Pelodiscus sinensis: one gene and its partner. The protein of the gene in region 1 purifies or fractionates together with the protein of each later gene. This does not show direct contact. Links are inferred from orthologs where the notes say so. Each region holds a gene or a part of one and is shown on either strand. Other genes may lie near its edges.

Region 1 (7,714 bases):
ATCTTCATCTCCAATGGTGGCTACTGCCTCTTTGCACTGAATTGATCTCTTTTAGTGGGGAAAGTCTAAGAATCATTTCCTGTCTGTGGTGAATTCAAACTAGCCTCACTGCAGACCAACAGGGATCCAAAAGCTGAAGTCACTTGGCAACAGCAACCCATGAATGATTCCTTACTTGGTGCTCATAGAGCAGAAGTTTTTTTTAAATTAACTTTATTGCAACAATCACCCAGGGAAGGGTCATTTTGTAAACTTTTCCTGTACATTTCATGTGGTGTAAATAAACATACAATTAATCAGACCGTATTCTTCTGTGGAGCAAAAGATGGAGTTTTGTTCATGTGGGTGTCGTAGTACAGTTCTCTCTCGGCAAACAATATTGTGCTAATATGATAACATGAGTTTTCCTGTTTTTGATGGGGTATAATATAGAGGTTACTGGAAACTTGTGCCCCTGTGGTTCCTTGCAGCTGGTTCATCTGGATCTAGATTAGTTATAAGCAAGAACACATCATCCTTAGCAGGGGACAGATAGTATTAATCAGCACAAAGAAAACAGAACTGTTTGTTTATTTAAAACCCCTTGTTCAACAGCCACTCTTTCAGTTCATTGTCAAAATAGCCTTTAATACGGATGCTAGCAGTGACTTCATTGACTTGAATAGGTGGTGGTTTCCCAGCAAGCTGAGTGAGGAACTCCTTAACTTCCTTCTCCAGGGCCTGAAGTTAAAGAAACAGAACAAAAATCATGTCTCTATTTAACTAAATCAAATTGACAACCCAAAATTTGGTTTAGTCATCAAATACTAGGCCAGGCTCTCAGCTGTTAGGATCATGTTTGACTTGGTTTAAAGCTGGGCATGCATCAGGCATAACACCAAATAGTCCAGACATGTTAATTGTGTTGTAGGAGCTGTACGAACAGCAGTCACTAGTTTTGCTAGTCTGGTATTCTGCTTCCTGTTGTGGTAGATAATTCTTTTACAAATATAACTCAATTTTCTGCACCCATGCATGGGAGGAGGAAACTCCTCAGGAAAAAGAACTTTACTTTTTGTTCTGGACTTGAATAGCATCCCTATTAGCTTTTTTCTAAACTAATGGCTGTTATGGGGAATATGTAATTGTCTCTCCAGCTGCTCAGCTCTGAAGGCAGCACTGCCATCACCAGCAGCGCAGCAGTAAGAGTAGCATTACTGCATTCCCCCTCCCCCTTTTTGGGTCAAGACTCAAATTACCATGAAATTTCAGATTTAAATAGTTGAAATTATGAAATGTACTCTTAAAATCCTATGATTGTGAAATTGTCCAAAATGGACCAAATTTGGTAGATCCCTCACTATAATTCTTTGATTTGCTGTAAGACTTTTGCAGAATACAGCCACTCCCCGAGTTACAACCACCTCTACTTATGACCATCCGCACTTACGACCAAAGCAGTCGTAAATGTGGATCCGTGTTACAAACGGCGATCCGTGCTTATGAACAGCGTGGTTGCCATGTAACTCTATAGGATCCGAGTTACGAACACTTCGAGTTACGGACCAAGTGTTGGTCCATAACTCAGGGAGCGGTTGTACATTCAATACATTTTCTCCTATTAAATTTGCATTCCATTTTGAGGGGTAAGGAGAATCATTGAATGTACACTTTTAGAAGCTGTGTAATTGTGGATCTGCTGTTCGTCCCTAGTGGAATGAGTTGGAATAGCACATACCCAGATATCACCTTCAATTTTCCTGATGACAGTCATCCGCCTGTTGCCACTAGTAATGTCCTTATAGACTGGAACGTTGTGCATCCGGGAACGTCTTACAAAGTAAGGAAGGGCAGGTGGAGTATCTAATCAAAAAAATTGATTTCAACTCTAGGCTAGAACAATGTCTGGTCTGTATGCTCCACTAGTGAGCTGCAATCAGAATAGTGACTCTGATGAAGCTCAAGTCATTTCAGTTTGCAACTCTACTCTCCCTACCACAACCTTTCACTAACATCTAAAAATTCAACTGGGTTGTTCCTGGCTAAGGCAGTCACTGGTAAATATGCAATCGGAATTTAGCAGCCTTATGCATAAAGGCAGAACAGACACCTGTTCATGCCAGTAACTTTACTAGGGAAAAACCCCCAAAAAACAAATTGTCACTTTTCTGATACCAACTACTAACAAGGTTTGTATTTCTCAAGTTTTAGAAACATAGGATAAAGTATTCCAACAGCCAGCCTATGTTGATGGAAGGACTACTACAAGCATTAGTCTCTTTCTGTACCATACTCAAAATCACAAATCTTTCAGGTTACAGGAAACGAGGCCAGCATTAGGGGCCGTCAGGAGAGACTGCTATTGTTTGACTGCCTTCTGGTCCTAGAAAAATGTACCTTTCTATACCTAAAAAATGTAGGTTTCAGAGACAAAAGGGCACCTGTTATTGCATAAAAACTTCCTCATACCAAAATATCTCTGTAGCAGGGATGGGCAATTACAAATAATGGGTGGGCCACATGATTGGCCCTCCTTCACCTCAGTGGGCTGCAGTAACCCATTGCCCTCTGGATATTCACCCCTCGTGCTCTCCCACATGCCTTCCAAACTGAGGCTCCAGAGTCACACACTGCTCCCTCCCTTCCCAGCAGTTTCAGAATGTGTGAATTGCCTGATTTGCACTCAGTGCCCACCTTGCTCCATCACAGCTCTAGGAGGGACAGAGCATGAACCAGGCAATTCATGCATTCCAAAAGTGCTGGAAGGGAGGAGCAGGTTAAGTGAGGGGCTCTGGTGCCTCAGTGTGGGTGGGTGGGGGAGGGGAAAGGTGGGCCTGCAAAGCACAGGATGCCCACTACTGGTTTATATATATCATGACTAAAACCCACCACTTTAAAAATCACATGAAAAAAAAACAATCTAATGGAAAATAACAGTGGTTGACACGCGTTCCCCTTCACTTAAGAGCAGTGGCTGTTCTGAGATACTTACATTCAGACTAAAGATGGGTTCCTTGCAACAAAGGAGTGGGTAAGAGAACCTCTGAAGGCTGGATCAGCTGGTGGATACAGATTACCACTGCCCTGCTGCTTCCCCCATCCCCAGGACAATCAAGACCTGGGGATGGGAGTGTGTGAAGTCTCCTTTCCCCACCCCCCAAGGGTGCACAGCACCAGAGGGAATCACCTGCTGTTCTCTCTAGCCTCTGCTCCCAGGCCCTGATAAAGTCTCCTCCCACCCAAGGGGCATGGCATCACAGTGAACAGAAGCAGTTCTCTCTAGCCAGCACATGCCCCAGGCAGGGCGGGGGCAGAGGCTGAGGGAATTCACATGCTCCCAGGCTCTGATTGGCCTGGAGAGTGCTCGAAGTCTTCAGTTGCAGTGCCTAGAGGGAACTGCCAGCTGTTTTAAAACTGCTGGCACTTCTCTCTAGCTGCTTGGGGTAAGTGGGGGGAGAGACTTCATGTGTTTCCCCCACCCCCAGGCTAATCAGGATCTGTGGGCAGAGAACTCTTCCTGCCCTGTCCCACCCCTTCCAGGGGAGCCCAGGTCCCCTTTAGAAATCTATGAAGTGGCTCCCTTTTAAAAATTATTGCCCACCCTTGTCACAACATTACAATCTCTGGCTCTCGGTCAATGCTGTGTAGTATTCCAGCTCTGGCATGCTAAATCAGCACAAAATAGTTGCTACCAGTAGGCTGAGTGGAATTTGTTTTGATAGATAATGTTTTAATTTAAATTTCCAGTTGTGCAAAATCGTGGACTAAGTATTTTATTGATTTAAATTTCCCACAATTGTGAAAACTTAAAACATGTTGAAATTCAAAGTTAAACTGTTAACATACAAACTTATCACATTTAAAATATACAAACTAAATAGTACACCAAATTAAGTTATTAAGCAGTGTTTTTAGGTTGACTAGCTGTGTCAGTTATCAATGAAAATATTTCAGGTTTGTGTGCATGTCGTGAAATGGACTGTTAGTGATGAACTCCTCCCAAGCCTAGCTCCAGGACAGATGCCCTATCTATACGGTTACCTGATGGAGGTCTCCAGCCAGACGGGGTGGGGTACTGGTCGTGTTTGGGGGGAGCAGGAATTCTGGTGGGTGGAATGAGTCTCTCCACAAATTTATATTCTTCAGTGGATTCGACAATCCCGGGGTAGTGAGGATCGCGGGTCTCAGGTTCGTCCCGGGACTGGCTCTGAAACGCACGGGGTGGGGGAGGGAATAACGGTCAGGCCATCCTGCCTGCAGAAGCCACGCGCAGCCCGGCCCATGGCGGGCGCCTTCTCACGGCTCTAGCCGCGCAGCGCTGTGGGGGGCGGGTCCAAGCTGCAGGCGCCAAGGACGAATCAGCCACCCGCGCGTCCCTCTCCTCGGTACCTGCCGGGCTGTCAGCTGCAGCAGCCGCCGAGCCCCCGCGCCCCACAGGCATCTCGGCCGCCTCCTCAGCCCCGCCAGGGACATGGCCGCTGCCATCTTGCTGCCGCCTGCGGCTGGAAGGTGGGAAGGGCTGTGACGTAAAAATCTGGCGCCTCCGCGGGCGACAGCCGTCGCGTGTGACGTGACGCAGTACGCAGTGCGCGCGCCCCCGCCGTACGTATATGAACGTGCGCGCGACTCGGCTAAATTCTTTTCGGCTCCATCTTGTGAAGCGGCGGCGTCTCGTGGTGAGCGAGGTGCCGGTGTTCCTCCCGCCTGAACCGGGTCTGGAGTGGGGGATGTAGAGGGGCGGGGCACGAAGCGCTTCACCCGTCCCCTGCGAGCTCAGCCGGCGAGCGGCCTGGGCGCGGGGCTGGCAGCTGTAGGGCGGGGTTAGTGAGGGGGGAGCGGAGATGCAGCCTAAGTCCCTACGGCCGGCGCCTGGCTGGGCTGACAGGCCCGCTGGGGCCGACTCCCGTCAGGGACCGTGACCCGCCAGGAGATCCCGGGCTGGTCAGCTCGGCTGGGCACGTTTAACCGCTTCTCCCCAGTGACCCCTCCTGGTTCTGTCCCCGGGTGGAGTCAGCGGGTTTTAGGGCAGGGGCGGGCTGGGAGGCAGAACCTCTGGGTTCTGTTTCAGTGGCTACGGGGGGCTGCGTGTTGCACAGCCCTTCCGACTAATCCCGGCCCAGGCGGTAGCAGCTCTGTCTGTTGCCAGGATGGTAGCGAAGTCCATCTGGGAAGGAGCATCTTTGTGCCTTAGCTGCTCTGCTACCTGTGAAACCTGGGCCATCGTTGGGAAGGTGCAGAGACTGACTTTGGTTAGACAGTGCTTGGTCTGGGCAGTGGAAGCAGAGTTCAGGGGTCTTTTGAAATATCTGCCTTTGCTGGGATTTGGGTATCCTGATTGCATTGTAGGTAATGATTTACTGCTGCAGGCTCAGTCATTTAACTCATGTTTCAATATGGAATTCACATCTAGAGAAGGGAGCTGGCAGTCCAGTCTTCTCAATTCCATCACTTGATCTTGTGTTGAAGCAAGTGACGGGACTTCAGGGTTTGTCACTGGCTCAGGAAGGGTGGGAGTAGAGTCTAATGGACTACAGCAGAGATGCTGATAGTCAAAATTCCTAACTTTTATTCCTAAGTATTTCACTGACTCAGTGTCTGCTTGTTTTCTGTTTGGATTTTATCTTTAGTGCTCCCAGTAGGTTATTGGGTAGCTGCTGAGAGCTGACAGGAAAGCTGCTTGTCTCTCTCAGGCTGTATAATGCAACGAAGGCACAGAATGCAAGACTTAATATCTTTAGGCTGCTGTGGAAATTGTCTGATTTTGAGTAATTTGCCCTAACCCTGGTTGTACTGTCCATTCAGCGTGACTGGAACCATGCAGCTGTTCATCCGTGCTCAGAACCTGCACACCCTTGAGGTGTCTGGACAGGAAACAATATCTCACCTTAAGGTAAGGAAGGATTCCCTAGCCACATTCTGTCTTATGCCACGCTTAACCGTTCTGTCAGGCTTTTCAATGCATCCTTTTGACAGAATGATCCTGTCCAGAGGGGATGGCAGAATTGCTGCTGACTTCTGATCACAAATACTGGCAGAGAACGTATTGGGCACCATATGTCCCTTTCCTCTGCTTCGTCTGTGTTGAAAGTAGCCCTGTGAGAATTAGGGTCATGGCTGCCCAAAGATGGACCACATCAGGCTTTGATCTTGACATTATAAGCTAAGCATGTGCTTTCTAGACCAGAACTTGGATGGAAAACCAAGATGTTCTGGAGTTGAATAATTAAAGAGCACTCTGAGTCTGTACCGATTCCAGTGCCCTAGCATGGTGTTGGAAAATGCAGTGCTGAAGGAAGTAGGGTGGGATAGAGCTCTGGTGGGATTGTTTTCCCCTCTTGAATTAGTACTGGTGTCAACCAGTACTCCCTAGTGTCTAGTCCTTCAGAAAAAATAGTAAACATTCCTGATTGCTTGATATCTGGCACTTTCAGTGATCCCAAATTATAATTGGGATAATTGCATTTGGCCTTTTAGTTTGAATGAAGGGCTGTTAGTTCATCCCATAATTTAGTGGTACTATTCCCCAGTGCCACTCTAAACAACTCTAGCCAGCTTTTCTATAGCTTGTATGCCTTAGTGCAGGGATTCCTCTCCCCTCCATGGCATTTGCCTCGTTCATGTCCTCAGACACTTTTGGAATGCATTCTCTTTCGTTGCAAAGCCAGATGTGACAGCTCTAACTCTCCTCGTAAATCAGTCCATCTCACTTCTGTTCAATAGTATTGGGATCTGAGCTCCATTCTACCACTCAACCTTTTTAGGATTGTGCTGCCCAGAGAGAAAGTCTTTGATCAGGAATGGTGTGCCCCCTTGGGTCACATCCCTCTGCCTTGTGCCATGGAGGGGAATCTGATACCCACTGACTTGTGGAAGGTGTTTGATTAGCTTTGCTCTCCCAGCCTCCCTAGCTGATTGTATCTTGTGTCTCTTATCAGGCTCACATTGAGTCCCTGGAAGGCATTGCACCAGAAGATCAGGTGGTTCTCTTGGGTGGAACTCCTTTGGAGGATGAAGCTATCATTGGGCAATGTGGCATCAGCGAACTTGCCACACTGGAGGTGGCTGCTCGCATGTTGGGTGGTAAGTATTAAAAGGCCCTGGTGTACTGAAGTAAAATTCCATGAGGCCCCTGGACAAGTGGAGGAGGCATGCAAAGAATTCCCATCCCATTCTCCTAATTAGCTGTATTTCAGGAGTGGATAGTCAAGCTGTTAACTGCCAGCTACAGCAGGGTCACGCTAGAGTGAGACCACTGTGGCTCTGAATGGTGCCTGGGAAAAGCCAGAGGACATGGAGGATGTCTGTGTAAAACAAGCTTGTTGGGTCTCAGCCCAGTGCACGAGGATCCAATAGCAGAGAGCACTCTGAGGCCCCAGAGTGAATGGAACACTTCAAAGAACAAACTTCTCTCCAGCCTAGGACTGAGCCCATTTGGCTTAGCTTGACCACGGGAACCTTGCCAGCCCTTTGGATGGCCATGTAGACTTCCCTCAAAAATCAAAACAAAACACAACCCACAGCGCACACGGGGGGGAGGAACAACAACCCCACAGCACAGTCTCAGCCTGAGACTGAAAGTACACTGCAGTTCTGTAGCCACGACTAGTGACTAAAACACAGGCCCTGGAATGACAAAGTTGGGATTAATCTGGTCAACTGTCCCATATACACTCTACATAATGCCCAATATCCTGTGTTGCTGAGTGCAGCTCTCTTGACTTCTCTTGCCAGGTAA
Region 2 (8,043 bases), on another chromosome or scaffold:
AGCAATGGCCCAGAACAGCTGCAGACTCTACAGTTCCGTGCTTCCCTCTAGGCCATGGCTTTAAATACCTGAGCCGCCCATTACCTGCAGCAGGGGCCCCCAATTCCCACACACCCCTCAGATAGTGCAGTCATGCAGAAAGTGCACCAAGAGATTCTCATCCCTGAGCAGACACTCTGCAACAAGTTTACATCACCTCGCTCTACTGTGGGACCAGGACCCTACGAACACAGTGAAGTTACCATGAATATAACCACTTCTGCCCAAAGTGAGAGTCTTTTCATACAAGCAAAGGACCTATCCTAGACTCAGGAGCAATGTGCATTTTATACTGCACTGGTTTATTATTTTAACAGGAGGATCTCACATTACCTAGTAAATAATCGACACCACTTAACTTTTTCTGAGTGGCCTCCCACCCAACTACTAAATGTAAACCTGCTTAGCTTACAAGGGCTGAAAATGTCAGGTTCTATGATTACAAAAGGAAGGCACTTCTGAATTCAGGAGTTTTGGAAGTGCACAGAACTGGTTCCTGCATAATTACAGAACTTCAGTAAAACCGAACAATTTTCAGTCTGTGTGATTGGAGGATATCGGGATCCATATTATGAGACTGTCCCACATAATGAGGAAAAGTTGAGGTGCCTTTGCTTTCCTCTTGTTCTGCTCTTTGTTTCTGCAATATTACTGTCTTCTTTAAAAAAGAAAATAATAATAATAATAATAAAAAACTGGTAATGGCAGTTGAAAATAGCAACTCTAGAGTCCCACTTGGCACTGGGAAAATACCAGCATTTGTTGTTCAATTGTATCCTACTTTTTCCAAAACAAATGACAGTGGAACAGTATTTTATTTTGGAGAAATGATATAACAGCATTATGAATTAAACTTGAGCACACCTGTTCAAAGCTGGAGGACAGGTGCTAAATTCCCTTTCTGAATATTAGTGCACATCCTGACCTTCTCATTAGTCTTAGGGGGAAAATCTTTGATTCTAAGCCAACTCAATTTTTATAAATAAATGTATCCCATAGAATCTTGCCTACAATGCCATAAAATATGATCAACAGTTTCTTTGGTTTTGTACACATTACTCAGCCCATCCTTATGTCTTTTTCATAAGTTTAACTTTTCATTGAAGGTGCAATGAAAATGACTATTTCATTTTTCCTATCATGCCTATGGAGTATATTATCTATGATTTTTGAGCATGCATCATTAAACCTTCATCCTTTTGTTTCCTTTGTCTATAGTTCTTGATATTCTTTTGCAAGTTCCTTCATGAATCACACTTTTTAATCCTTGTTTATTAAAGCCATATCCCTTTCTGCTTTGACTTTCCTCCAGTCAGGGCCTGAAACAACCCCCCCTTTATGCCTGGCCCTGCCCTGCCTTTTCCCACCCCTTCTCTGTTCTCATCCACCCTGTCCTTTAAGCTCCACCCCCATCTTACCACCCTTGCTCCACCTCCTCCTTATCCCTATTGCACCCCTTCCCTCAAAGCCCCTGCCCTGAGCAACACAGCCAGGGTATTATTGAGGGCCTAGTGCTGGCAGTAGGGGTTTGAGCATGCCCCTGCACTCACCGCTGCTGTGATGAAATGGAGCAATCTGTCTAGGAGATGGTGAAGTAGAGATGAATGAAAGAAATAATCACTTCCTTTGACCTGCTGGCATTGCTCTCTACTAGTGGGTACCAATAGGCTATAAGCCTTCTTGGCAACAAGGGCACACTGTTAACTCATATCCAGCTTCTTGTCCACTGTCATTCCCAGGTCCTTGCCTGCAGAACTGCTTAGCCAGCTGACTGTATTGAAAGACAATTACAAATCAACAGTCACGCCACAATTCAGGACATTATTGCTGTCATGCTCTCCTTTATGTATGCCAGTGATTTTAGAAATTATTTCTCCTTTCATAAATGATGTCATGGTTCTGTAGTATTAACATACTTTCATATTGATATTGACTTCTTTCATTGTGATGTTATTGTGTGCAGAACTCTTCACTCTTCTGCTTCACTCTTCTGCTTTTGTGAGCTTTGTTTTATGAGAAGTGCAGGAACGTAGGCCCTGATTATGAAAACATACAAACACGCTTAAAGTTAAACAAATGCATAACTGTGAGTAGGATTGGGATCATATTTTGTTCTCTTTGATAACTTGATATGGTTTGATTAGAGAGGTTCAACCTGTATAACACTTCAGAACCATTCAGCTCAGAGAAACTAAATATTGCATGAGGGATGCAGGATCCAGTACACCTGGACTGATTACTTGCTACCCAATTGGTCTTAAGGAAAGGCACTTAAGTATCAGCATATGCATGTAACAAATAAAAAAGCATCTACAGTGCCTTGAGTCAGCAGGGGGAAAACACTATTTGGGGGGCAGCCCTGTAGAGAAGACCAAATGCTCGCTCTAGTCTCCTCTCTGCATTTCTCCCTACTAACTCAGGACCCTGCAGGAGCATTTTTACTTCTTGCAGTGCCTTGCAGGCAATTACCAATATGCACCCATAGCTATCTATACTTTATAGGTCTGGGTGCCTTCCCGGAAGTCAGACAGCAGCTGACCAGTCAGATCATATTTGACACTGACAAGAAAAAGCTGCATTGTGAGTTGGTTTGGCATTTTGTTTACAACTGATTGATTGATGTACATTTTCACAGTTGCAAAAAAGTATGGCTTTTAAAAAAAACTTGCATCATTTTAAATTCATAATTGTGAGAAATTATAAGGGGATCGTATAATGTAATGACCGTAGACAGTGAGGTTAAAGCTTAATAACCATTAAAAACAATTTTTCAACAATGCATGTCAAAATATACAATGTAATTATCCTTGAAAGAAATGCTAAGCTCTCAAGCAACATTTTCTTACCTTACCTAGTATCTGTAAATTCTGAATGTTATTGATGGAAATATTTCTGTCAGAGTCTCTGAAAGTGTTATTTACTAATTAAAGAAAACTAATCTTTCCTAGCCTAATTATTAGCATTCCTTGAACTGTGTCTTTTGTCTTATATTTAGACTGTAAGCTCTTTAGAGGGAAAAATGGCTTTTTGTTCTATTTATGCAGAGATATTTTGGCCTTGGAAAGGGTTCAGAAAAGGGCAACTAAAATGATTAGGGGTTTGGAACGGGTCCCATATGAGGAGAGGTTAAAGCGACTGGGACTTTTCAGTTTAGAAAAGAAGAGACTGAGGGGAGATATGATAGAGGTATATAAAATCATGAGTGGTGGGGAGAGGGCCGATAAAGAAAAGTTATTTATTAGCTCCCTAAATAGAAGAACTAGAGGACACCAAATGAAATTAATGGGGAGCAGGTTTAAAACTAATAAAAGAAAGTTCTTCTTCACACAGCGTGTAGTCAACCTGTGGAACTCCTTGCCAGAGGAGGCTGTGAAGGCTAGGACTATAATAGAGTTTAAAGAGAAGCTAGATAATTTCATGGAGGTTAGGTCCATAAAAGTCTATTAGGCAGGGGATAAAATGGTGTCCTTGGCCTCTGTTTGTCAGAGGCTGGAGAGGGATGGCAGGAGACAAATCGCTTGATCATTGTCTTCGGTCCACCCTCTCTGGGGCACCTGGTGCTGGCCACTGTTGGCAGGCAGGATGCTGGGCTAGACGGACCTTTGGTCTGACCCAGTACGGCCGTTCTTATGTTCTTATGAGTCTGCCACTATAGAGTTCTGGTCCTGGAGTGGTATAATATAAATAATAGTTCTAAAGCACCAGTGTAAGAAAGCAGTTTGTAGAAGGGGAGGGATAAAGATCTGTTTTAAACCCCTTTTAAAAATACATTGTGAGTCAATTAACCTTCCAAAAGGATAGAGTGAAACGATATAGTAGTACAAGGTACTGATCCTTCCACTCGCTTTGCAGACCCCAGAGAAGGCAGCGGGACTCATATGGGCACTGGGGTCTGATCACACAGAGCCAGTTGCAGGACTGAATCCCAGTTTTGTTTAGTTTACTGTGGTGTCCAACACACTAGCGGCTATTTGGCTTGTATAATGTGGCTATTTGGCATATTGAGTGTGGCTAGTTTGCTACAGCAGTAGTCACTATAGTGGTTACTGCTTCAGAACTGGTTGGACACCAGGGGTCCAGTATTTATAGCGCAAGACTGGGCAGCCAGGACTATTGGTTTCTATGGCTAGTATGACCTTGAACAAGTGACAACCTCTGCATCTCAGTTTATGCATCTGTAAAACAGAGGTGTTAACAATAATATTTAGCTTTCACTAAGCATTCTAAATCTCCTGAACTCTGGACACACTAACTAATTAATGCAGTGAGGCTTCCTTAATGCTTGGAAAGTCGTTTAAAATCCCCAAATAGTCACAGGCTTGCTGTGCCAGGTATCATTTGACAAATCCTTGGGTGGGGACAGGAGGACCCAGAAATCTCTTACCTTTGTTCTAAACGATGGTAACAGCTGTATGAAAAGTGTCACAACTTAAGGAAACCAAGGACTTGCCTCTCCGAAGCTGGGACACTTGGCATGCACCGGCCTTGCAACACCAACAGCTGATGCCTCCAATTATGGAAGGCTCCCTTCGAGGGAAAGGGGGGAGCCATTCATCTTTCTCCACCCCTCGCCCAGAAACGTGGGTGACGTTTGGGAGGGAGGAAGCTTTGTGGGGGAGCACCCATTCGTCTCCCTCCCCCTTCGGAAAGACGGGGGTGGGAGTGTGGCAAGAGGAGGAGCCAGGCGGTTTCACCTGCTTGTCCCCTTCTCAGAAAGGGCCTGGCTGTTGTTGCGGGGGGGACGCGGCGGCAGTGAGCTTGCTCCAGAAGGGCGGCTGAGGGGGGAGCCCAGTAGCGGGGTCGCTCCCCCCGCCAGGGACTCCGCTCGCCCCTGCCCCGGCGCGGCAGGAAGAGGAGGCAGGAGAAAGGGGAAGAGGCTCGAGGCCGGGCCGGGGAGGGAGGAGCGGTCCCGGGGGGGAGGCGGCAGACGCACAAGATGGCCCCTGCTGCAGAGGCGGCAGCAGCAGCGGGTCGTGGGGAGGAGGCGGCGGCGGCCGGGCGGCCCCTGCTGCTGCCGGCGCTGGAGGCTGCGGCCAGCCCCGCGTCCCGGAGCTGAAAGTCGCTGCTGCGGGGAGCTCAGCCGTGCGGTGAGTCCGGGCCCCGCGCTCGGCGGCGGGGAACAATGGGGCGGAGGGGGCCTGGCCCGGCGGGGCCGCGGGCTGGCTCGGGGCGCTCCGGCCTGTGTCCCTGCCTCGCTAGGCCTCAGGCTCCGTTTCCGAAGTGCCCCGTCTCCGAGGCGCGGTGGAGCGGGGCGCCGGAAGGGGGAGGCTTCCGTGGCCTCGGGAAGGGGGTGGGAGTCCCAGGGGCTCGGGCCCCTTTGGGGTGGGGGCAGCGGGTGCCTCTTCGGGGGGGAGAGTGAGGCCTGAGGGAGACTCTATCCCCCGCTCCTGCTGATGAGGCGGGGCAAGCCTCGCCGAGCAGATGGGAAGTTGGGGTCCCTGCCCTCGAGGGGGTTCCGCCTCCACACGCTGTGGATTTGCAGAGCAGATGTGGCACACGTCGGAGGCTTTGTTTCAGACCTGTATAGACACACACAGGCCCCCTCTCTCTCTGCCTCCCCCCGGCCCTGGCTCACCCCGTTTGGGCGCCTCTCAAAGTTGTAGGGGACATTCAGGGTGAGCTGCCCCGCGTTTTCTGTGCGGGCCTGGACATTGACAGGCATCGGGGAAGTGGAAGCCTAAAAAGAGCGACCGAACTTGAAAGTGTTTTTGTCTTTGTTTCTCACTGAGTTAAAAGATGGGGCAAGGATTTCCTGCCAGGAAACAGAGCTCTGAGTAGCTACCCTTCTGTATTGGTTGGGGGGAATACCCAGAAATGATGTTTTGTCTTCAGGGGCCATATTGAGTGAGATCTGTGCCATTTTGAGAGCCCACAGATAGGAAAACTGATATTTCTTGTGTAAAATGGTATTTCATTAAATCATTCTCCTGCCCCCCCCCCCCCCCCCCACACACACACACATACACTTCTTTCTCCTGAGCTGTTGTTTTAAAACTTGTGTTGTTTCTCATTATGGAAAAATTGTATTGGTGACATTTTATCAACTAGAAAGGAGCTTTCAGTATTCTGATAAACTGAAAATTGGCCAAACTATTAAACTCATTTTTGCAATTTATGTTAAAAAAGTTGGTTCACTCCTGTCCATGACAGTGCTACTTTTTCACCACTAAGTCTTCTAGTGACTCCTCTTTGATCACTGTATTGTAAAATGACAGTTGGATTATTTCTACATTTATACTATAGTGATGCCTAGTATCTGTGGTATGTAGAAGTATTACCTTTTTCCACTAAACTTTTTTTCTCCTCTTCAGACATCGATTTATTTTATTTTAGGCCCTCCTGCCCATTCTTATGTACTACTTAATATTTTCACTGGTATCTACTTAATTGTTTCACTGACCTCATTGAGACACACACACACACACACATGAATACACTTTTTGCACATGCTTGAGTGCTGGCAGGACTGCGGTCCACTTCTTTGTCACATAGAGAAATTGGCATAAAAATTGTCAATCCATAAACGTGGTAGTTTACATCAATAATTGAGGTGAACATATAGTTTCTATTAAAGTTAATAAGAGCTGGGTGCACCAAAGGGAATTTCCTGAAATTTTCAGCCTATTATTCCTGCCCTGCAAAGGGCTCCTGCAGAGCAGATGCTTTAAGCTGGCTATTTTGAGGGACACTTGCACTTGTTTGATAGTTTCTGATTTCCATGGCTGTCCATAAAACACCTTTGAGCAGCATTAACAATCATGGAGACAAGGAGGAAATCGCTTGGTTTTTCTACCAAAAAACACTTAATTTAAAACAAGATACTATATTTTTGGTTTGACATTGGTCTGAACTGATGTCTGTTCCATGAAACAAAGGGGAGATCTGCATGTAAAATATTGCATTGGCGTTAGGGATGTTAAATTTGATTAATTAGCTAATTGAGTAGTCGATGGAATTTCCACTGACTACTTGATTTGTCAATAAGGGGGATGCTCTCTTATCTTTTTGTGCCTCTCCCTTTGAAATGTACAAGAACCACAGCGGCTTATGTACATTTAAAAGGGAAAGGTCCCCGGCTGGTGAGGGTTCCCTTCCGTGCCTCTTCCTTTGAAGTGTACAAGAGCTGGATGCAGCTCTTGTATATTTCAAAGGGAGAGAATCAGCAGTCAGACTGTACATGGGACTATTTCAATTCCTGCTCAGGCTGTTTCCCGGATGCCCTCTGCCTCCCCTGCCCCCTGTGGAGATGGTGCGTGGGGAACCATTTTTAAGCTGGCTCCCCCCGGAACGGGCACGTGCTTTCCTTCCCCTCCCTGCTGCCTCTCACTGATAGAGGCAGCAAGAGTGGGGGGAGCAACTAATCGAGTTCCTACTCGATAAGCATTTGCTTATCGGGTGGTTGACTAGTCACTTACATCTCTAATTGGCGCAGCTGCACCAGTGTAGCATCATCTCATCAGTATGAGAAGAGCTCTCATGGACACAGCTCTGTCTACGTGGGAGTTAGGTCTCTCTAATTCTGTCACTCAGAGCTATGGATGTTTTGCACTCCTGAGCAATGTAGTTAGTGATTTAGATCTGTAGTGTAGACCTGACCATAATGATGGCTTCAGCCTGCTTCCCAAAGCGTAAGTGTCTGCATGACACTGACCAGCACCACTCTTGCTAACTGAAAGGCTTAACAGAGTTAAACGCTGAAGACATAAATTATTTAAAGATGGCAGTTTTGAACAAATGTTGCTGAGACCATTTGGAGAAGCTTGAACTCATGTTGCCTGTGACCTACCAGCTATCTAGATAAAGACTGTCACAAATGCTGGCAGTCTGGAACTCTATAGTAGTTCTGAATTCAGGAAATAGATACGTCCAAAATTTTGAATGAATTGCTTTCTTATTTATCTGAATATTTGGAAGGAATCTGAAAATGGTGGCAAGGATTGAAAATGTCACTAGTTTGGGACTTGGTATAGACATAGACTTGCCAGAATATTAGTTTCTGTAATT

Evidence for each region.
Region 2: the proteins of FAU (region 1) and RC3H1 purify together in Homo sapiens (affinity purification with mass spectrometry; 3 studies listed by BioGRID, with this or other methods). This does not show direct contact. The link is inferred for Pelodiscus sinensis from reciprocal best matches to the Homo sapiens genes FAU and RC3H1.

Annotation. Positions count from the first base shown.
Region 1 is NC_134721.1:34,638,062-34,645,775, forward strand, and holds the start of FAU (ubiquitin-like FUBI-ribosomal protein eS30 fusion protein), read left to right. Parts: upstream 1-4,533; 5' UTR 4,534-4,655; intron 4,656-5,781; 5' UTR 5,782-5,794; coding exon 5,795-5,869; intron 5,870-6,914; coding exon 6,915-7,059; intron 7,060-7,710; coding exon 7,711-7,714. Other genes in the region: MRPL49 (large ribosomal subunit protein mL49), read right to left, coding at 574-720, 1,718-1,842, 4,021-4,186, 4,369-4,464.
Region 2 is NC_134719.1:62,188,786-62,196,828, forward strand, and holds the start of RC3H1 (roquin-1), read left to right. Parts: upstream 1-4,974; 5' UTR 4,975-5,126; intron 5,127-8,043. UniProt on the Homo sapiens protein: Post-transcriptional repressor of mRNAs containing a conserved stem loop motif, called constitutive decay element (CDE), which is often located in the 3'-UTR, as in HMGXB3, ICOS, IER3, NFKBID, NFKBIZ, PPP1R10, TNF, TNFRSF4 and in many more mRNAs.